Linked DNA regions of Saccharomyces cerevisiae S288C. Changing the gene in region 2 together with the main gene of any one other region gives a genetic interaction. Each region holds a gene or a part of one and is shown on either strand. Other genes may lie near its edges.

Region 1 (5,925 bases), on a different chromosome or scaffold from region 2:
GAAGAAAAGGCAAGAAAATTTTCAGTAGCAAAAAAAATAATAGAAAATGGTTGCCAAGAGTGCCCTCGAAGCTCCGATATTTGGCTAGAAAACATTAGACTACACGAATCTGATGTTCACTACTGTAAAACATTAGTGGCAACGGCAATAAATTTTAATCCAACGTCTCCGCTTCTTTGGTTCAAAGCTATTGATTTGGAAAGCACAACGGTTAACAAATATAGAGTAGTGAGAAAAGCACTGCAAGAGATTCCTCGAGATGAGGGCCTATGGAAGCTAGCTGTCAGTTTTGAAGCTGACAAAGCGCAAGTTATAAAAATGTTAGAGAAAGCCACACAATTTATTCCACAAAGTATGGATCTCTTGACTGCATATACTAATTTGCAAAGCTATCATAATGCTAAAATGACTTTGAATTCCTTCAGAAAAATCCTTCCGCAAGAACCGGAAATTTGGATTATCTCTACACTCTTGGAAGAACGAAATAACCCAGATATACCTGTAGATAAACTAGTTAGTTTGCTCAAGGAGGGTTTATTGGAACTCTCTAAAAATGGGTACAAAGCGACCTTGTCAGCATGGTTGAAACGTGCAGAGGCTCTAAATGATGCGCCCAATTCAAATTTAACCTGTCAAGCCATCGTTTACGCTATATTAGAATGGTTAAGAGAAAGTGGCGAGTATGAGTCTGAGTTGAATAATGTTGATCAGATATTAGAAAAAATGCCACACTCAAAGGTACAAATTGCTGTCTTAAAAAAGCTTATTCAGTGGGATCCTTGTGATACAGTTCTTTGGTCTAGACTGAAAATGGCCACTGAAAGCTACCATAAAATTGAAGAGTTATTAGCATTTTTCCAGGAGCTGCTATTTCAGACCAAGAATAGTGATGATATACGAGCAAATATGAGGGAGAAAAGCCCTGGCTTGTTAATGATGTATGTAAGCGAATATTGGAAGGCCCAAAAAGGGGATACTAGGCAAACACTAGTTTTGATTGACCAGATTATAGATTTCGCCCCGCATAATTTGGATTTACGCTTTTTCAAGATAAAGTTATTAGGTCGTTCACTACAACTTGATGAATTACGAGATTTTTTTCAGCAAACTTTCTCCTCTTTAGAGGATTTTAAGATCAGTGGCACGGAAAGATTATATTATAAATACGTAAACTTTCTGCGGTACCAAGATCTGAATGAAGAGGCTATAAAATTCTTGAATGAGAGATGTTTGAAATCATTTCCCATCTGCCACAAATTTTTTTTACAGCTGGGTCAAATTTATCATTCCATGGGCAATATTGAAATGAGTAGAGAAACCTATTTGTCTGGTACAAGGTTAGTGCCCAATTGCCCTTTATTATGGGTTTCCCTATCAAAGATTGACGAGATTGATCTAAAAAATCCAGTAAGGGCAAGATCAATTTTAGATAGAGGATTGTTAAAAAATCCTGACGATGTATTATTTTACATTGCTAAAATCCAAATGGAAATAAGACTTGGTAACTTAGATCAGGCGGAGTTACTCGTCACACAGGCATTGCAAAAGTTTCCAAGCAATGCTTTACTTTGGGTGGAGCAAATCAAGCTGTTTAAGCATGGAAACAAAAGTTCGTTAAAAAAAACAATTTTTCAAGATGCTTTAAGAAGGACACAAAACGATCATCGCGTTCTTTTGGAGATTGGAGTATCCTTTTATGCAGAAGCGCAATATGAAACATCATTAAAATGGTTAGAAAGAGCTCTGAAAAAGTGCTCGCGTTACGGAGATACATGGGTTTGGCTATTTAGGACATATGCAAGGTTAGGCAAGGATACTGTTGATCTCTACAATATGTTCGATCAATGTGAGCCTACTTACGGACCCGAATGGATAGCCGCCTCCAAGAACGTAAAAATGCAATACTGCACACCTAGAGAGATTTTATTGCGCTTGATGAATGACAAATAAAGTAATTCTATCTTGCGTTGTTTTCTACTTAGCCTGCGCGTATATTTATATGTATGTATGTATGTATACACATAATTGATAGAAGCGATGCTCAAAAAAAAAGTTAAAGAAAAGAATTAGATTTAATTAAGATTATAAGTAGTGCTTCATAGGTATTAAGACAACAAATGGTCTTTCTTACAAACGTAAAAATTTGAAGCAAAATGATGTATGTGTTTAAGGAATTTATTCGTATTTTTTTAATGAAAAAAAAATTTAAAAACAGTGCATATTTATTTGTGGCCTTTGGTCGCTACAATCCAATCCCATCTTCTTTCATGTATTAACACTTCATCGTTGCGCGTTATAATGCAGAAGATAAAAAAAGGATCGAAGTGTTTCTTTTCCAGCGAAGTTTCGGTCTCAAATAATAATACGTCAGGAAAAAGAAGGAAAAAAACATTGCTACATCAGCAGATCAAAGCATTTACTCAGAGTCGGTGGCTACATCCTCCTCCTCTTCTTGGGCTTTCTTGGCCTTCTTGGCCTTCTTAGCCTTCTTAGCCTTCTTCTTGTCCTTCTTGTGCTTCTTCTTTAGCTTTAACTTCTCCTTGATACTAGAGTCAGAATCAGATGACTTGAAAGAAGCTGGAGATGGCATCTTCTTTTCAGCAACTGGACCAACATGTTCAGCGGGTTCTTCGTCGAAGATTAAACCTAATCTTTCAATCCCCAAATAGTTAGCCAATGGCATGAAAAGAACTGGCAAGATAGATAGGATCAACAAATCAATAATACCATAGAAAATGGTAGCAGAATCTGGTTGCAAAACGTTACCACCATCTGTGATACCAAAACAGGTTGGGTAAGCAATCAGCCACAAAAACATGATGACACTCATGAAAGTAATGAAAACGTTAGAGACATCCTTACCTCTGGCCTTGACCAGGTTGAATGTAGTTGTCATCAAACTAATACAAACAACAATGGCAGCACCAATACCAATGGTGTAGTAACCCCATTTGTAAGTAGAGTGGACACAGGCAGCAATCAACCAGCAGACAGTAAATATTTCAGTCATACCAACATTGAAAGCAATTTGCCATAATGGAGTACCACCAAGTAGAGACATTTGAATAATTGGCCATGGGAAAGCCAAAAACCAGCCAACGTATCTAGCGTAAAAAATTTGTCTGTAACCTGGGTGCTCCTTTTGGGTAGAAGTTTGTACATGGTTGTACTTTGCTCTGACTGGGATCCAACCCAAGTTAGAAGCCATGGTGAAATAAGCAATTGACATGAACAAATTTGGAGCAATGGCCGTATAATATACGAATCTGTCCTTAACTGGTTTTCTAAACATTAGTGGGACTAAAATCACACCGAATAGTAGGTTAACACAAAAAACGGTGAAAAGCCAGTCTGAACCACGAGATGTAATGTGGAAATCAGCACCGGTTGGTGGATTAATTTTGATGGCTTCGTTACCACCTCTTTTCAATAGTTCAACATAATCAGACATTTTGATGCTTTTTTTAAAAAATAGTGTCACTTTAAGTTATCAGGAAAATTAGAAGATTTTTAAAATTAAATATTAATAATTAAAGAATTAGTGGTTAAACGTTATTAGATTGTTTGGAATTAAAAGAAAAAAATTCTAGATTGATTAAAAATAACCAGAATAAGCTATTAGTTTTGAGTAAAAAAGGGTTTTTAGAAAAAAAATTATGGTAAGTTCTTAGGACTTCTTGTCTATGTTAAAGTATCCAAAGATAAATAGATAGTTTTTTTCGGGTTGGAATATTACTGTTATTTGCTGACACAATCTTGACACTTGATTATATAATCGTAAATGAGAAAAGGTTAATAACAAATATCGAAGAAAACAAGAGAAGAAAAGGGCGGAAAACCATAACTAACACACTGTCTTACATGTAAACCGAATAAGTTCGGTTCTTTATATATCTTTTCGGTAAGCTTCCAGTAATTGAAAGGATCATGAATAAGCAACAACCCGATGAGGAATCATCCCGATCTAACATTGAAATTTTCTAGGGGTTTTACTAACTAATCTGATTGGAAAGCACAATTATCCAGTGAACTACTAAGATGACGAAATTATTCGTTTACACAGAAATAGTGAAAGGCATTTTTGCTTTTACAAGAGGCTATTTTTTTTTTTCTTCATGCTTCTTAAAGGGATTCATGCATTGGACCGGAGAAAAGTCCGCAGAACGACCACTCGAGGGTAAGAAAAAAACAGCTCAGATTTCCTATTTGAGGCAAATTATGCGGAAATTGAAGAATCGAAAATCACGGAAGTGGTACCAAAATCGGTAGGTTGTTTTCAATTTACCCTTTTTTTCCATTCCCTCATTTAGAACCCATAGCGAGGTCGAAATATCCCTTAGCCATTGGTGTGATGTCTATAGTTATTTCCCTCAGTCAACCCAAAGCAAGATTTACATTGTGTTAACGTATGCCGTGATATGAACAAACACACCGGCCTACATAGCTAAGTTAATCAAAGAAGGTGTAGATAAACTAGGTTACATAACTGCCTATTGGCAAGCTTTCTTGCTATCTTAACAGCAAAGCTCTTAAGTCGTGATCTTCTCTTCTGATTCTCTTCCGATGGCATATAGATTTGAAGACGACAAGGAAAGCTAAGCAACTTCCTAGTTTTCGTCTAAAAAAACCGAAGGTTTTTCCGGTGATTTTCGGAAACATGCAGAAGAGTCCTTAGAAATCTTAGGTAAATTCACTCGGCATGTCTGCTAAAGATCGGTCTAGGCCATGCGCGTAAAACGGGAAAGGGTTCGCTCAATGGCAGATGCTGCCATACGAGGACACAACCAAGATGAGGCCTCCCAAAGCGGTACTCGCGTTAAGAAAGAAGGGCTTTGGAGGCAACCGGGTAGGGTGTCTTCTTTGTAAAGTTTGTCTAATGTTGGAGAATGGTTGCCACCCGGGGAAGAAAACTGCTCAGGGCGGATAACAGGAAAATAACATGTTGCGTGCACTTGTTTCCGTTGAAGGGAGATGGAAAGACTACTTAAAACAAAGTAAAGAAAAACATCTCAAAAATATTGAGAGAAAATGTGGTCCAGGAACCAAAGATGGTATACTATTTTGCTTTAGTTTATTTTTGCCTTCTTGTTTAATTATTACTCAATTGGTATATGTAATTGAGTAAATATACAAATTGTAGCTTGTGTTTTTGTTTTTCACAAATGACATCGGTATGTATTTTTCAACATATCTTCGCCATTTCTGTGAGCTATTCCGAACACCGCTTGAAACGATTTGTATTTTGCACAATCGTCATCGAAGTTCAAAAGTCAATTGCTTTTCCTAATAGAGTTAAAAGTCGGTCTACGAAAGTAAAATGTATACTCAGTAAGAGCGGTCTTTGTCTACAGTTCTCCAAAGTGGTAGTTATATCGGGAATGGGTAAATGCATTACACAACAACAAGGAGTTCTAAAAGAGTAACTGTGAACGCCAAAGGAAAAGATATAAAAAAAGTATGTCCCTTTTTAATACCTTTTTCGTTAAGCCGCTACAGCTACCTCTTGACTAACTGAGAAGCTGAATGGATAAGGAACAAAATCGTACGTAAATTTTCTCATCCATTTTACTTGGTCAACAGATTCTATAATTGTAAAGCTGTAGCTTGCACTTGATTTTGTTCCTAGAAATGCATTCAAAATTATTTAATGGTCGCCAAGAACAGCTAGGTGAAAGTTTACCCGGTCGGGCTTTAAGGGGAAGCCAATGCTTATTCAAAGCATATGGACATATATGAAGATGTCCTGTAAGATTCTTAGATTAAGTTTATATGCATTGAGCAACTAGACACTTTTCGTAAAATGAGTAGTGTTGGCGATTTTGAAGAAATTATTTTGCATGATTTAAAACCTTATTATCACGTTCCCGGTGCCATACATAGTGAAGGAATAACCTTCGTTAAGGAAACCGGTACACTGTTGTGGGT
Region 2 (3,347 bases):
CATAAGGCTTTGCATCAGAATCATCAGAGTCTACATCAGCTTCACTTTCACTTTCACTTTCATTGAAAAAGGAGTCGTCAGATTCTTGGTCCAATTCAGACTCAGAGGAGGAAGAGCTTAACAAATCTTCTTCAGACGAAGATAAAAGATCTTCTTCGGATGAAGAACTGGCTACATCGTATTCGTAATTAGACGAAAAGAAACGGGACATTTTCGTAGATCTCGGGCTTGGCAGGCTATTGTGTGAAGATTGCAAATATGTGCCTTGTTCTCCTTTTTTTCCTTCTATGCTACTCTACTAACAAGTGCAACTGCGAACCTGTAGCTAATTTTTCATTCCTTTCAAAGCTCTTTTTCTCATTGAAAAATTTTTCAACGGCGAAAAAAATGCGAAAAAAAAAGCTTGGTCGTTTCCAACGAGTAGAGGAAAGTGACAGTAATAATAATGATTGCGTCTCTAATATATACGTACTTATCCATTGCATGAAGGTAATTTGGGATTAAAATACAGTTGAAAGAGTTGTCAGTGTCATGGGGATTGCATCTGCAACGTCCGAATTGGATACGGGGCATGGTAGCTGAGCATCAAAGAACTCTTGAGGACCTTGACAATCTACGAATTGATCTTGATCCAGTTTGAATGCTCGAGCAAGAGTGTCCCACGTTGAGAATACCAATAAGATGTGGGGATTAGTTTCGGCGGTAGGCAGTGATGATAACTCGGGAATAGAGGTGTCTCTCGTGGTTAAGGGAACATATACTGATTGTGTATAACCCTCTTTTAAAGGCCCCTTCATAAACAAGTCTGTGAACGATGACGCTATACGAGTATAGTAGCCATACTGCGAGTCCAATCCGGTGAAATCACCGTAAGCTTCCTGAGGAGATACAATTTTCCTCGTTATTGTGTCGATGGTGACCCTTGCGTTTATCGGCACCAGCTGACTTTGTAGAGCCAGTGCTTTGCTTTTCCCTATATTAATATATTTGGTTTGCTTGAATACCTTACCAATCTTTTTGCGAGCCAAGGTGGGTTTCTGCATCTTGATAGTGAGGCCTTCTCTGTACCGACCGTGATCTTGCTTTTGGTACCTGGTGAAAGGAAGTGTGGATAATCTTGGTAATTTTGAAGCGGCGGTCAAATAAGGTCTGAATTTTTCGTTGAAGACAGTATTGCGAAGATATGGAGGCGTGACGAAGTATTGTAAAAGTGCCAGTATTAATTTAGCAGTGGAGATTTTTTTTTTGGTGGCATCGACCTGGGAATTGTCCTCAAGAATGACAACCTCAGAAACATTAAACAGCGATGCAAACTTGGCCACTTGGTACACCTTATGCGTGATTTGAGAGAGGTTGCGACAGTCCGATACCAATGTCGTGGGGATACAGAGTGAATAATGTCTGGTTTGTGATAGAGGTTTCTCAACCTTTTTGAACTTCCTCGTGCTGCTCATCAAACTAAGTGATACACAGCTTTGTGGTCAGTAGTATATATTCCTGGGACCGGTAGTAGTTGTGAAACAGAGTACTCTCACTTGCCGATCACAGCTCATCGATGGGAAATTTTTCATGTATAAAATAAAGCTTGTTAAAAAATCAGTTCGTTTCGCGTGATAACAAACAGTGCATATTTATGTACCAAGAATCCAAAAAATAAGATATATTTAGTATAGGTAAACGTTATGGAGGTGTCATGTTTCATGGTTCTTTTGTCGTACTATCATCTTCGTCTTCGTCTTCGTCCTTTAGCGCTTCACGGGACTTTTTGTTGAAAATTGCCCTTACGTCGTAATGCTTCTTTCTCATTTCTTCAAATTTCTTATGTCTAGCCTCCGGTGAGTCTTCATCATTCTCGTCGTTGGTCTCAAAATCCGGTTGTTTGTTCTCTTTGATTTCAAATTCCGGTTCGCCCAGGGACAAATCGTCGATGTCATCGTTTGCCACCTGGCATGGTTTTTTATCACTATTATCCTCATCTTCATCATCATCTACTCTGTAGTATTCCCCGTGAGGGTCCACAGCACCTTGGTAGGGGGTCTTGGGCTCGTCTATGTGAATATCTTGGAACTGCTTTTTTGTTATTTCATTTTCTGCTAAATTTCTTTGGTTCCATTGAACTCGCTCTTCTGGTGTCATCTTGGCCAACATGTCTTGCTCATGTTTCAGTGACAGTGTGTCCTTTGGAAGGAAGGTACTCGATGTTCCAATTATCTCCCCCTCCTCTTTTGTATTATCTAGTCCCGGTATATTCCTTTTATGTGATGTCAATTTGGCATTTTTCTGCGTATTTTCGTAAACTTGTCTTCTAAACTCTTCAAGCGTTTCTGGATCCTGTTGCGCCAGCTGCTCCGGCGATAAGGCTAGCGGGTTTTTAAGTATACCTCCCATTATTCTGCTGATGTGCGTTCTTGATGATACGAACTCGTTGTACTGATGAAGCTCTTGGACTTTAAGTTGTAGTGGTGTTCTCAAATTATCCTTTCGGTGGAAGTCATTTCTCCCTAAAAAAGCGTGAGGGCAAAACTTGAAACCGGGTAAGAATATGCGATAGTACCGTTTTGCCTCTAAAGACAGTGCTTCAGAGAAATATTAGCAAGGTGTCGAATCAAGTTATACTAGATAGGAGGATTTCATAATGAATAATGCTTTAAAATGGTTCTCACCTTTATTTTATCATTTTCTTCTTTTCTTCTGCTATTGATTTGGTAGTGTTCGGGTTAATTCATTTTTTTGTTCAATAACAAGAACCAAACATAAAAAAAAATACTTTAAGAATAAACAAGACTGATGAAGCATAGATCATATTATTAGAGCGCGTAAGGTATGTAGAGCACAGATTGGTCCTTCGAGTGTGATTATATAATTTTATATACGCTCCTTAATTTAAAAGCGGCTTAGATAGATTTTTTATACTTTGCTGTTGGAAAATTCCTGCTGAAGCAAAAGAATTTGCAATTCGTTCTTAGCCTTTAACCCCAATTTTAAGGCTGAAGCCGTGGCTTATATCATGGGCTTTGTTTATCCAACTTTTCACATCTATAGTACGCTATCTTTGCATCTCTTAGGCATGAATTGATAGGCGATGAGCAGAATGAAAAATGAAAAAAAAATAAAAGTACTAAATTGAGGCTAGTAGAAGTTAGGCAAAAACCGTCCAGAACCTCCACAAAAATAACTAAATACACATTTATGGGTAGTGTTCAACGACAAGATTTGGTCCTATTCAGCGACCAATCAGTGCTTCCTGCCCACTTTTTCCAAGACAGCAACTCTCATAACTTATTCTTCATCACCCATCAATCCTGTACTCAACCACTATGGATGATAAACGCACTAGTAGAAACGCA
Region 3 (6,589 bases), on a different chromosome or scaffold from region 2:
ATCTGTTCAATACCACTCTTGATCTCATTTATGATTTGAGTTCCGAATCATTTGAATTTATTGATCATGTTTCCAACAATGAACTTCTATCACAGTTCTTAAATGGGCTATCTCCGGCTTTACATCCACAAGCTAATGAATTAACAAAAGTTCTAATTGAAGGTATCCATTGCCAATTCCTTGACATGAAAATAACTTATGATCAATGTAACAAAATGATCCACTCTGTATGTCATTCCATTAATAACATTGATCCAGTACAGTTAGTTAATGACATTAATAACCCTGTAGAAATTGGACCTGCTACTAGTAAAGATGAAAGCAGTAAGGTTATAACTAAGATCAAGGATTACAATGCGAAACGTAACGAATCCATGATAAAATTGCAAAGCATTGAAATAGCAATTGATCTTATCACCGCAATCATTGAGATAGTTGCATCCAAATATGAATCACCAGAATCACAGGAAGTAGCAATTCCAGAGGAGCTAATCAATACCTTAACAAATTTCTTACCTCACGTTTTCATGATTTTGAAAGATACCTTCACCTCGCGAATATTGATCGGATGGAACAATCTGATCTGGCTCTTTGTGTCTCTATCTCTAACAGAGCTCTCTGGAGAGTTGTTAACCACCTTATGGAGTTATGTTACACAGTTGGACAGCCAAGATGATTTGAGTATTAAAATAGGAAGAATGGGCTGTATTTGGGCGCTTCTGAAACTCATCTTTCCTGATGGAGCGTTTGAAAGTGAGAATCGAGCATTGATCAATGTCCAAATGCTGAACAATTCAGGATTCGCTAGGGGAATTATTGAAGAGTTCCAAAATAATAATGACCTTGAGTTACAACAAAAATGTATTAATGTACTAAGCACATATGCTATGATTCAGGGACAAATTGATGCAAATAAGGAGATTGGGCAGTTCTTCATACAAACTTTAACACAGTTGAATGTTCGCCCTGAAATTTTGATAGAAATGACAAATTCGCTTTTCCAAATTTACGGGGATGCCTCTTACGACTATAATGAACCAATATTTGTAAGGGGTGGATTTTTATCTATTCTAAAAGACCAAGTTGTACCAAATTTGAGGCAGCAATTCAAAATGGTTGATAAAAACAAAAATCCCGAACTAAAAGAAAGATGCCATGATTGCTTTACTACGTTGGATAGTTTCATTCACTACAAAATGAATGAAAATTCTACTAACCAATAGATTTATTAAAGTGTATATAGTTGCCATACTTATAGAAAATGGTACAAAAAATATCTTTCTATTTACTTAGCATAAGAAACAAAGAGCAAAAAATTATTTTTGAGAATTTGTAAATAATGTTATTTTGCTCTATTTTTGTTACACAACGACATTAGTTAAATAAAGTACAAAAGGAGGAAGAATGGGAAAGATGGATTCCCTCTATTTAGAGTACTGTTTAGCTTGAAGCAAAACTTTCTTGTCATATTCCGCCTTATTTCTTGAAAATGATCTCCATGCAGGCTCTTGAGCAGGGGAATTTGGATTTGGAGAGTCTAAAAGATCCTGAACCCCAAGAACAATTTGTTTTAACGTGATGGCGGGTCTCCAATCTTGATCTTCATTTAAAATACTTAAACATATTGTGCCACTTGGATACACGTTTGGATGATAAAATCCGGCTGGAAATTTAACCTTTGGAGGTTTTGAAGGATATTCATTTGGATATTCGACTGTAATTGGGTACACACCACCCGCCCAGTTTGTACCTTCTTTGCCTGGGATACCAGCTTCCCATTTCTGTAAATCCATGGACCCATCAGCTTTCTTAACTGGTTTGGCATAAAATCCAAATGGATGATCCTTTCTCCATTTTTTTCTGTTATTCAAGTAAAACAAGTTAAGTTCATCGATTTGTTAGTATACCGCTGGATGAAATTGTGTATGCCTACAGAATGTAAGCATAAAAGGAGGAAAACTACTACTTACCTTTCTTCCTGAAGACGCTGTAGACACAAACTACTCATATTGCTTCCAAAAAATGGTGCCAGTGTGTGCTTATCCTATGCTAAATTTCTCTTCTTTTTTTAAATGTTTGTTATGGAGACAGGAATAATTTTTAATTTCCAGATGTTAAACGCGGTTTCTGAGAGATATAAAGTGAAGAAAGAATTACAAATTGTGGGAACCGAAGTATTGACGGAAAGAAGAAATGCCAAACATACAACACGAAGTAATGAATGAAAACGAGTACGATAATTTTGATGATTTGGATGACCTTTTAGATGAAGATCCCACTAAACTGGATGAAGCAGAGCCCGATGATGTGCAAGCGAAGGGTTCTGTGTACAACGATAGTGAAAACAAAGAGAAGAATGCCGAAAGTAAGGACAGTGATGGCGTACAGGTAGCTAATGAATCTGAAGAGGACCCAGAATTGAAAGAAATGATGGTAGATTTGCAAAATGAGTTCGCAAATTTGATGAAAAATAACGGTAACGAGAATAATGTGAAGACAGAAGATTTTAATAAACTGATTAGTGCTCTAGAAGAGGCAGCTAAAGTACCTCATCAACAGATGGAGCAAGGATGTAGTAGTTTGAAAAGTAACAGCACTGATAAAGGGACCGTGAATGGTAGCAATCCGGGATTTAAAAACATTGTTTCCAATACGCTAGACAGGTTAAAGGAAAATGGTAATAAAGTTGATACATCCCTAGCCGAAGAAACCAAGGAATCTCAACGCAGTGGCCAAAATAATAATATTGATGATATATTGTCACAATTATTAGATCAAATGGTAGCATCTGGTGGAAAAGAAAGTGCAGAAAATCAATTTGATCTAAAAGATGGGGAGATGGACGACGCAATAACAAAAATACTTGATCAAATGACGTCAAAAGAAGTATTATATGAGCCTATGAAAGAAATGCGTAGTGAGTTCGGTGTTTGGTTTCAAGAAAACGGTGAAAATGAAGAGCATAAGGAAAAGATAGGCACCTACAAGAGGCAATTTAATATCGTAGACGAAATTGTAAATATTTATGAATTGAAAGATTATGACGAGCTAAAGCATAAAGATCGTGTTACTGAACTTTTGGACGAATTAGAACAGCTTGGTGATAGCCCTATTAGAAGTGCGAACAGCCCCCTAAAACACGGTAATGAAGAAGAAGAACTCATGAAAATGTTGGAAATTGATGGTAATGATCCGAACTTGGGGAACCTTGATAAGGAATTAACCGACGGTTGCAAACAACAATAAGGTATATATATTTATGATAACAGTAAAAAAAAAAAAAAAAAAGTAGTTCATTATCCTAGAGCATAACTAAGTATAACACTTTAAAAAATGAAAAAAAAAAGTGGTAGATTGGGCTACGTAAATTCGATTACTCGATCGACTTGATTTCTTTTTGTAGTCTTTTTTCAACGGCATCCAAAAATTCTTCTGTGGTAACATAAGCAGATCTTTCGTTGTTACCGCAAGCCAAAGCCAAGTCCTTCGTCATGATACCGTCTTGCTGAACTGTGTTCAAAGTGGCGGATTCCAAAATATTGGCAAATTTACACAAAGCAGGAGTATTGTCCAATTCACCTCTCTTCAATAGACCTCTCGACCACGCGAAAATGGATGCAATGGAGTTTGTAGAAGTTTCTTCACCCTTTTGGTACTTTCTATAATGTCTTGTCACGGTACCATGAGCAGCTTCACTTTCGAAAGTTTTACCGTCTGGTGTAACTAAGATAGAAGTCATCAAACCTAAGGAGCCAAATCCTTGAGCGACGATGTCAGATTGGACATCACCGTCATAGTTCTTTAGCGCCATGATAAAGCCACCTTTAGATTTTATCATTTGAGCGACCATATCATCAATTAAACGGTGTTCATAGTGGATCCCTAGTTGTTCGAATTTGGATTTATATTGAGCTTCATAAACTTCTTGGAAAATGTCTTTGAACCGACCGTCATATTTCTTCAAAATAGTGTTCTTGGTTGACAAGAAAAGATTTAGCTTTTTGTCAATGGCCAGCTTGAAAGACGAATGAGCAAACCCTTCGATGGATTCGTCAGTATTGTACATGGCCATGGCCACACCACTGCCCTTGTAGTCATACACTTTCAAAGTTTGTGGTTGAGCAGTCGTAGGGTCGGATGGCTTGTAGACCAGTTCCAAAGATCCTGGGCCTGGGATCAGTGTGTCCGTAGCTTTATATTGATCACCGTGGGCGTGTCTTCCAATAATGATTGGTTTTTCCCAACGTGGGACCAGTCTAGGAATTCTAGGAATCACAATGGGCTCTCTGAACACTGTACCGCCGAGAATGTTTCTGATGGTACCATTAGGAGATTTCCACATCTTGTGCAGGTTGAATTCCTTCACACGAGCTTCATCAGGAGTGATGGTGGCACATTTGATACCAACACCATACTTCTTGATCGCCTCAGCAGCATCCTGAGTAATCTTGTCGGAGGTGGCGTCACGAGATTCGACAGATAAGTCGTAGTACTTCAAATCTACGTCCAAGTAGGGTAGAATCAATTTCTTCTTGATCTTATCCCAAATGATACGGGTCATTTCATCACCGTCCAACTCGACAACGGGTTGTTTGACCTTAATCTTACTGAAAGCAGCAAGGCGAGAGGTGGAAAATAATCTTCTAGATAACATACTCATGCTGGGCGATCTTCCTTGTGCGTCTGTTGTCTCACAATTGCTTGAAGGAAGATTTCATAAGATCATATGAGTCCCTCTTTATATGGGCAAGTGGAATTATGTGAGTCAAAATCCGCGCGTGACCCGTAAAGCGTTATCAGAAGGTGCAAACGGTGCTATTTAGCTCATAAAAGGAATGATTCAAGCTCTTTTGGATTGTAAGACACCTTTATTTAGTCCAAGATCATTGCAGACCCTTGTTATGGTCTTTAGCAGAGTCCTCCTCTATATCTCTTCATTTACTGCAACCTGATTGGCCCGCTACCACGATGCCCGCTTTGTTCCTGTGGTATTAAAAGAATCGATGAAAGAGACTCTTATCTTCAGGGAAAATTAGGACCGAGAATTAGAGCAAGCAAGATATTTGCAAACTACTAACTACAAGCGACTTACACAGACATGACTATTGCTCCAATTACTGGTACGATCAAGAGAAGAGTCATCATGGACATCGTCCTCGGGTTCTCCCTCGGGGGTGTCATGGCCTCTTACTGGTGGTGGGGATTCCACATGGATAAGATTAACAAGAGAGAGAAGTTCTACGCAGAGCTAGCTGAGAGGAAAAAGCAAGAGAACTGACCGAACCTGACCACTATTGTTTTTCGCATTATATTCTTATTCCTATTTATTTATCTTTTATTTTTTTTCTGTGCTGGCCTCGATTGATTACTTTTGCAAGAGTTTGTAGGGAAGGAAAACAGACAAGTCATTCTTTTCTTTCTTTTTGACCTTTATCATAATTTTCTATTTGTATAATTTGAAAAAATAGTTTTACATATTTATGTAGTGTCAAACTAAAATAAAAACAAACTTAAAAAAAGAGTTATAGAAAATGTATGTGGAGAATAAGACAGGCAGACCTTGAGTGAACTAGGAATAGTACAATATTACCTTTAGGAGGTGCCACGTACTACCCCTTTGCTTCTATTCTTCTATGGTTTCTTTATAGCAGGATAAAAGAATAAATCAGATAATGAATCTCGACATGTTGAGGACAAAAGTGTTTGCAACTACTGTTGCTCGAATATCTGGGATTCGCAGGTATATTCCCATCAGAACTATAAACACGGTGACGAAAAAGAATATTAGTAAGATAGAAAAACTGTGTGAAGTCCTTGAAGTTAATCCTGACGGATATAAAGGAAAGGAACGCATACCGACTAAAGAACTAACTAAACTGCTATATACCACAAGCAGGAATATGTTGGTACGAGTACCAATGACTGGAGACTTGAGCACAGGAAATACATTTGAAACAAGAAACGAAACTTTACAAAAATTGGGTGAACAGCTCATTCACTTGGAAATTAATAAGATGCTTACAATAACATTTACGAATTTCAATCAGTTTAATATAATGAACAAAAACTTCAATTACATTCATAACTTAGATCGAGCTCGAGTAGTGAACATGGACTCGATAAGCTGGCTTATCAAGAATTCGTTGAAAATTAACCAATTAGCTCATTTGCGAATACCTGCCAATTTGCCGAAGGAAATGGGATTAACTTCCAGCTCTAATGATTTTCAGAACTTGAACGATTGGAAAGTGATCTTATCCTTTATTGGTTACCTGAAATTACTCGAAATTAAAAACGATAACAAAAAATTCATTGAATCAATTATAAAAACTATATGCATACCTCTAATTAATTACCATTTGCGTAAATCATAGTACAAAAGAAACGATGCCTTTTTGTCCGTTATCCCTTTGTTTTATTTACAATAAGTACGTAAAAACAATTATTTCTTATTTTTGTTTATAATGTTACAAATCTTTTTTATCCCCATTCTTCCCAATTTTTTTTTTCTTTTCTTTTTTTCCTTAATTAGGGCATGAAGCCCATTTCGATTGTTAATCACTGTCACTGTCGCTACTATCACTACTGT
Region 4 (7,559 bases), on a different chromosome or scaffold from region 2:
TCTCAGTATCTGGGAATGCCTTATTATCGATATACACAAGAATTTCTGGAAGAAATATTTCCTTGCTGCACCCATACAATTCTAAACCCAAACATGTTTCCCGCTTTGTTTTTATTCCACACTCGGCATATTGCGTCTATGAAAAAGATGCGAAGTGTCTTTGTGAAATGAGGAAGTGTTCTCGCTAGAGTCCGCCTGGTTCCACGCCAACCTTTCAGCGGGCAAGTCCAATAGCTTTACGTTTCCCTTCTCTGCTGCGTCTGTTGAAAATCTATAATCAATAGGTAAAATAGTGATAATAACATAGCTAGTACAATTTACATAGTAGCATTTGCTGAAGACTTAGAGGAAACGTATCAAGCCAGGGAAAAAGATGTCCACTGAATTAACTGTTCAATCTGAAAGAGCTTTCCAAAAGGTATGAAAGAATTATAACCTGAATGAGGTAATCAATGAAATATTCAGTACGGAAAGGAAAATTGCTCGAGGTAATATTATAATTTTAATGGGAATTTCCAGATTTATCAACATAAACGTTAGCAAGCGCAGTACCATCAAGTAAAAGTTTACTGGTGAAAAGCAGGACCTCGAATGATTGAGATTTCGTTACACAGTACGAGTAAAATATAAATTATTTCAAGAAGAAGAGAACTTTTGATCTGAAAATGAAAATGTAACCACGGAGAAATGTTGAGAATACATAAATAACCATGAGGCCAAAACACCTTAATATGAAGTATAACTTTTACTGTGCTCAATGACTATTTCACCCGACTAATGCCAAGTAAGGAGGATCTCCATCATACGGAACAATTTTCCAACCGCCACGACACAGTTAACGATTTCCTTTTCGCCTAAAAATAGTAGGAATGAAGTTCATGATTATATTTTAGATCAACCGGTTTACTAACATGCTATTTTTCATACAGCAACCTCACATCTTCAACAATCCAAAGGTCAAGACTTCCAAGAGAACCAAGAGATGGTATAAGAATGCCGGTTTGGGATTCAAGACCCCAAAGACCGCTATTGAAGGTTCTTACATTGATAAGAAATGTCCATTCACTGGTTTAGTTTCCATCCGTGGTAAGATCTTGACCGGTACCGTCGTCTCCACCAAGATGCACCGTACCATTGTCATCAGAAGAGCTTACTTGCATTACATTCCAAAGTACAACAGATACGAAAAGAGACACAAGAACGTCCCAGTCCACGTCTCCCCAGCTTTCCGTGTCCAAGTTGGTGACATTGTTACCGTTGGTCAATGTAGACCAATCTCCAAGACTGTTAGATTCAACGTCGTCAAGGTCTCTGCTGCTGCCGGTAAGGCCAACAAGCAATTTGCTAAATTTTAAAGAAATAAAATTAACAAGATGATATAATAATAAGTGGAGGATAAAACGTAGGACTTCTGGTGAATTATTTGAACCAAAGTGTCGTATATTAGGCTCTTTTTCTTTTTCTTTTACCAGACTTGGTTTTTTTCTCTCTTTAGTAATTGTTTCTATATATGGCTTATCAATTCTATATATTTTTTAACTTGAATATATGAATGACATCTTTAATAATCACATCTCGGCAAACGACTGATGAGTTCCACCTGCTTATTGTTTATTTCCTTTCGTACACGCCGCGCTTGGCCAGTCCTTCCAAGAATGTAGGCAGAAGAAATCAAACTAACTTGTAAGAGAAAGAATAAAATTCATTATACATATAGGTAAAATAATATAAATACAACGGCTCCATGTGTAAGTTGGAAATAAAAACAGTTGGCGTCAAGGAAGAAAAAGAAAGTCAATATCCGGCAATAAGTGAAGACAAGATTTGCCAAATTGTTACAGGGCTAAAAAAAAGATAAATGATGAAAAATAACGCGTACTATCAAACATTATTGAGTTTTTCGCTTTCACCAATTATATTTTCCGGAATTAATTTTCTGTTTTCATTGAAATATTGGAGCTAAAATAATCAACTAGCTCTTTACTGATTTCATTGATTGATTTTTGCTTATAGCCTTTGACCTTTTTCTTCATTCTTTCATAGCACAATTTCAACTCTAACCCATTTAATTTCATGCCAGGCTTCAAAGCTGCAAGTTCATCCCAATCTACTTGAGAATCTTCTGTTATACCTAAATCTCTTAATTTTTCAAAAATCCATAACATATCATCATCTTTTACAGTCTGAATTTTGGCAATTGCTTCCCTTTTGACCAATTTATTCCATTTATAACGACATTGAATACGTGATCTCGTACCGCCCATACGCTCACTGACAATGGTCCAGTTAATGATGTCTTTGAAATCTAACTTACCGTTACCCATCAAAGATTTCCTCAGTTTATTATTGTGACGTCTGATTGTATTTGACAAACTTTTAGAATGTGTGCTTGTTGCTGATGGAGCAGGTACCATTGAGTTCTGGGAATTATCATCGAGCTGTATACCTAATGAATCGTGGGGTTTGTCTTCGTCTTTGTTGTCTCCCAGGGATGAAGAAGCAGCAGCGGCAGCAGCGGCAATAGCATCGTCATCATCTTGCTGCTTTTGTTGAAGAAGTTGTTGTTGTTCTTGAATAGCAGCAGCAGCAGCTGCTGCTGCAGAAGCTGTATCATCATCGTCTTCATCGTTATTGCGATGATCATTCTGGTCATCTTGCAGTAAATGCTGTTCTTCTTCCAATAAGTTTGGATGCAATTGAGACTGTTGTTGCTGGGCTTCTTCCAACATATCGCTGATAACCTTTTTCAGAAGCTCTTCTTCTTCAACGGACCATCTATTTGATGCTCTATTGGTACCACATTTTACGTAGTTTCTCCAACGATCCCTACAATCTTCTGGCATTCTGCCTAAAGTTTTACCTATTTCTGCCCATTGACCTTCTTTTTCTGCACATAATTTAGCTAGCTCTTGTTCCTCCTCCGCGGTCCATTTACCACGTTGTTCAAAAATGTGATATTTTCTTCTCATGTGTTTGTAGATAGAGGAGCTAGATCTATAGGGTAAGACTTTGTAAATATTATTCCAAAAGTTGTCCTTTGGCCTGTCGGAACTCCATATCCTTTCACAAACTTGTTGTCTAGTCAAACGTTCAATGGCCTCATACTCGTTAATAAATCTTTCTAAAGCGGCGTCTTCGGCTTTATCAAAAGCTTTGCTATTGTTAGACCTTGAAGTCGATGGCGTTGCTGAGGATGAGGATAAAGATACCAAAGATGATGCCTTTGTGGCGGCTGATTGAAGTAGTTGAGATATTTCTGAATTGTCCACGCTGCCAGCTTCATTATCATGAGAGGGAGATTTTTGTTGGTGTGGTTGAGTATCTTGAGAGATAACTTTGGGCAAGACTTCCATATAATTTCTAGATTTGTTGAGGGAACTATCCAGCATAGAGTCTTTCTGCAGTTCAGAGTATTGCTTTGTACTATTTGATAAATCATCTGTATCATCATTGTGATTCTTGTTCTGATGATTCAAACCGTGTGTACGCATCAAATGATCTTTAATATGCTTTAATTTTTCGTTATCGTCAGTATCAGCCGCAGTATTCAAGTATTGCTGGAAATCAGGATGTTGGGTAATCGAATCAGCGTCGATAATGGCCTTATGGACCAGTTGATCACGATCAATCACATCATTATTAGTATCGTTGTCATCTGCATCACCCAAGGTGGTTAATTCCGGATCTACGTTTCCAATTTGTCTGTCATCGTCATCATTATTGTTTTTCCGCTTTTTCTGTGAATTCTCATGATTATTTCCGTTATCATGCTGTCTTTTACGCGAATTGCTATCGTTCGCAATACTGTTATTATTATTGTTATTTTTCGATAGAGTGTAAGCAGCAGCGACGGCGGCCATCGCCATAGATTGATGATCATCGTCCACACCAACACCCGCATCTTTCTTATTCTTGTCGTCGTCGTCATCCACGACTATGTCAGATTGAGAAAAGTGATTATTACTGTCATTGCCGTTGTCAGTGTTATTATTGTTTTCGTCATCTTCGTCGTCTTGTTGATTATGCGCTGTTTGCCTTAAATACCAATCCATAACTGCGTTATGTTGTTCATTGGAGTTGGCATGATCCACATTCGAAGATGATTCGTTCGCATTCAATGCGCTAATATTTTCAGAATCATCATTATTATCCTCGTTTCTATTACTGTCATCATTGTTATTAACATCAACATCACTACTACTTTCCACAATATTCTGCTTTTTCGAGTGTTTGTTTTCCAGATCCTTCGTATGCAATTGAGGGTCATGGTTCTGGTGATCTAGACCTACACCGACATATTTCAAAACAGCCTCTTCCACAGACTCTTGATTTGCGTTTTTATCGTTATGACCTGAAGGCATATTGATTGAGCTATAAATATTCTAATTCAGCAGCAACACGTGAGTTCAAACTAATAACGATAGTGTGTAGATAACCTTGCTTGTGATGATGTTTATTTATTTACTTTAGGTTGGGTCCACAGCAGGGTAATAACAGCCTGAGTTTTGTTGTTTTATCTTGTGTGGTCAAGAAAGCTGCCATTTGTTTGTCGTTGTCCTTTGTGAGGGTAGGTCCCTTGGCCGCCTTTGGTTTGCCACCCGGCATGGGCCCAATTTGAAAGACGGGTAACAAAGTTGTTGCTATATATCACGTGATCAATTTTTCCGAGGAGCTTCTAGAAGAAAATGAGACACAATTTCAATGTATTGAAAGTTTACGTAAAATTTATAGGAGCAGGTTGGGTATACTGGTGTCTATGTAAGCGTCAATGTCATTTTCTGTTTCAGCGTCAGTATCAGTATCAGTGTCAGTTTCCGACTCGAAAATGAAGGTCGAATGACTTGAAGTTGACGAAGGTTTTACGGGGGAATGATGACTTATGTTGGATAACTTGAGATCGGAGTCAACCCGAAGCACACTACTGAAATCTGTTTCTCCTGCCTGTAACAAAACATTTCTTGGAACATCGCGAACATCGTGCCCACGCTGATAGTCTCCACTATTACTACTGATAATGGCAGTGGCAGCGGCAGTCGTAATAATTGCGTCACTCGCGACGTAAACGCTGTTATAATCATAGAAACTTCGCTTACTTGCTGCGTTGCCAATACAGGGATCTAGTTCAGACTTTGAACAAGGGCGCTGTTCATCAGTCGAATTCAACCGTGTAGAAGGAAGCCTTTGTATGAAATGCTCATCAGTTATAATACACTGTTCAACGTTATCGTTAAATTTGATATGCCTCTCTCGTGGCTTGCCCATTATATCTCTCCTTTTGCGTGCCTTAAACCAGCTTCTCCAAAAAAGGTTCTCCAATCTTTGATCATTGTCCACTTTCTTGTGTTTTTGTAACGGTAAAACATTTTCATTTTTTACAGTGTTGTTCGAGCTTCTCACATGCTTATTATTTTTATTGTAATTGTTTTTACTACTACAATTGATAAACTTGATGAATTTCCATAAATTTAAATTCAAGATTAAACTTCTTTGCTCGTGAAAGTCGAAATTTTTCTTCTTTACTGCTGGCAACATGCACATTCTTTTCTTGTTTATTTTCCACTGTTTGGCATTCAAAGACTTGATTTTTTTTAAGCAATACGTACCATTTGCAGCGGCGGGAGGATATCCCATATCGTTTCTATTCATCAAAGTTCTGACCGCCTCAACGAATTTACTACTTTCTTCTTCCTCTGGAGGGTCCTGGAATAAGTTATCCAAAGAGTCGCAATTACTCAAAGTCATTCTCACACACTTTCTTGTTCCTATTTTTTTTTTCTTATTCCAATATATTATTTTATCAGAAGACAGACAGCAAGAACGACAGCCTAAGTTTCGAGACAACGCTAAATTTGACGGACATGCGAAGACATGCCATATATAACAGTACGTCCAGGAAGAAGCTGCAACTCAAGAAGCAATAACTATTTTATGCATTATTAGTTAATTAAAGGGGGTATGGTGTGGCTAAAAACGAGTAAAAAAGCAGCTTGTTGCGATGTTAGTAATGATAACTATAAGGTTTCCGTGTTGACACAATAAGCGTATAAATTTAATCACTCCCCCCACGTTTTTTTATCCAGTGCTGCCCCGCCACATGCAATCGGGCCGTCGGAAAAGCAAGAGAAGGACAAACTATCGGGCAAATGGCCTGGAAGGGACCTTCCCCATTGGCCCTTGACTATAGTCCTTCAGTCCTTCAGTCCTTCAGTCCTTCAATGTTACAGTTATACCATATCGTACTTATGTAAAGATATATACGGTTTTACAAATCTTTGATACGGTCGTAAAAGGCCTTCCCTTGAAGTTGGTGAACTCTTAGCTCGGATAAACTGGGAGGTCTGCCACCGTCGATTCCAGAAACACATCCTGCGCCCCAGGCGCAAGACCCGTTCACATCTTCAACGTCGGTCAATTCCTTGTATGCGTTCTTATACCCCAATGGGACATAAATGACACCATGATGGACCAGAGTACTCATTGCGTTCATGATACACATTTCTGTATCACCCTTGCCGCTTATTGCGCCTGAAACAAACAAACCGGCAATTTTGCCATGGAGAGAACCCTTTGCCCAAAGCCCACCAGTATTCGAGTCCCAAAAGCTTTTCCACTCCGCGGGGAAGTTTCCAAACTTAGTAGGTATTCCGAATAAGTAGTAATCGTACTCAACCAACGTTTCTCTTGTTAGGATTTTATAGGAAAAATCTGCATTAGTTTTGGCGACTTTGGCTGCCTCTTTTCCCTCTTCTGTCGCATATTCAGTTTTATAGCTGACGTCTGGCACTTGGAAAATCTCAGCCTCACCACCAGCTATCTCTATACCTTTTTTTTCATTTTCTGCTAATGTGGCAATTATATCGTCCACTGAATAAATCAAAATAGCGACTTTCGGCATTATCTATGTGGCGTAGTATGTGCTTATAATAGTGAGTAGTATGCTGGAGGTCTTGATGTTCGATGTTTCTCGAGAAAAGTGTGATATAAAATGTGGTTTCTTTTTATTTCTTTTCTTTTCCGCTCTTTTATGTATTTTTGATTGTCCGCCCCTTAGGTGTTCCCTCCTTATAACTAGGCAACCAAAATGGAACGGCTATTATTCGATGTATAAGGACAAGTTTGGGAGCTTCGCTTCAATTTGCCCATAAGCGGTGTCATATGACGCTAGTTACATGCGCTGGATACGTATGCTGCATATATATAAACATATGTATATACACCTAGTGGAGAGGTTGTCGCTTTGTAGATTCCAGAGGAACATTTCCGTCTAGCACGTTTGGAATTTTGTAGATGCAGCCACCATTCTTGTCAGTATTGGTTCTTACAGCATCGTTGATTTCTGCATTGGCAGTGGTCACGAAGAGATCTTTACCAACAAAACAACAACATGAAACTCTTGGTGTCTGCTCCGGCAAAATGAACTCCTTCAGCAATTTTCCGTTAGTTAAATCGAACATTTGAACCTTACTGGTGGACCAGACAGTGATAAACAGAAACCCAGAATGTTTTCCGTCTTTGCTAAACCAAATTGCACTTCCATCTGGTTCAGGAGACTCAAAAGA

Evidence for each region.
Region 1: mutations in UPA2 (region 2) and YRO2 together harm fitness more than expected from each alone (negative genetic interaction), as found in Saccharomyces cerevisiae (one large-scale study listed by BioGRID).
Region 3: mutations in UPA2 (region 2) and IDP1 together harm fitness more than expected from each alone (negative genetic interaction), as found in Saccharomyces cerevisiae (one large-scale study listed by BioGRID).
Region 4: mutations in UPA2 (region 2) and REB1 together harm fitness more than expected from each alone (negative genetic interaction), as found in Saccharomyces cerevisiae (one large-scale study listed by BioGRID).

The regions. Positions count from the first base shown.
Region 1 is NC_001134.8:340,627-346,551, reverse strand, and holds YRO2 (Yro2p), read right to left. Parts: upstream 3,452-5,925; coding exon 2,417-3,451; downstream 1-2,416. Other genes in the region: U4/U6-U5 snRNP complex subunit PRP6, read left to right, coding at 1-1,950; YBR053C (regucalcin), read left to right, coding at 5,801-5,925.
Region 2 is NC_001145.3:895,216-898,562, forward strand, and holds UPA2 (putative methyltransferase), read right to left. Parts: upstream 1,455-3,347; coding exon 501-1,454; downstream 1-500. Other genes in the region: NIP1 (translation initiation factor eIF3 core subunit c), read right to left, coding at 1-211; PP1-complex regulatory subunit GLC8, read right to left, coding at 1,699-2,388; Elongator subunit ELP6, read left to right, coding at 3,190-3,347.
Region 3 is NC_001136.10:332,906-339,494, reverse strand, and holds IDP1 (isocitrate dehydrogenase (NADP(+)) IDP1), read right to left. Parts: upstream 4,661-6,589; coding exon 3,374-4,660; downstream 1-3,373. Other genes in the region: SYO1 (Syo1p), read left to right, coding at 1-1,223; E2 SUMO-conjugating protein UBC9, read right to left, coding at 1,425-1,860, 1,971-2,008; PEX19 (Pex19p), read left to right, coding at 2,218-3,246; COX9 (cytochrome c oxidase subunit VIIa), read left to right, coding at 5,099-5,278; CBS1 (Cbs1p), read left to right, coding at 5,685-6,374; BDF2 (Bdf2p), read right to left, coding at 6,555-6,589. UniProt on the Saccharomyces cerevisiae protein: Mitochondrial IDP1 may regulate flux through the tricarboxylic acid cycle and respiration. Its probably critical function is the production of NADPH.
Region 4 is NC_001134.8:332,458-340,016, forward strand, and holds REB1 (DNA-binding protein REB1), read right to left. Parts: upstream 4,362-7,559; coding exon 1,929-4,361; downstream 1-1,928. Other genes in the region: 40S ribosomal protein uS17 RPS11B, read left to right, coding at 374-418, 930-1,355; protein phosphatase regulator REG2, read right to left, coding at 4,726-5,742; RFS1 (flavodoxin-like fold family protein), read right to left, coding at 6,263-6,895; YBR053C (regucalcin), read right to left, coding at 7,218-7,559. UniProt on the Saccharomyces cerevisiae protein: DNA-binding protein that recognizes sites within both the enhancer and the promoter of rRNA transcription, as well as upstream of many genes transcribed by RNA polymerase II. It is essential for cell growth. May stimulate or inhibit transcription.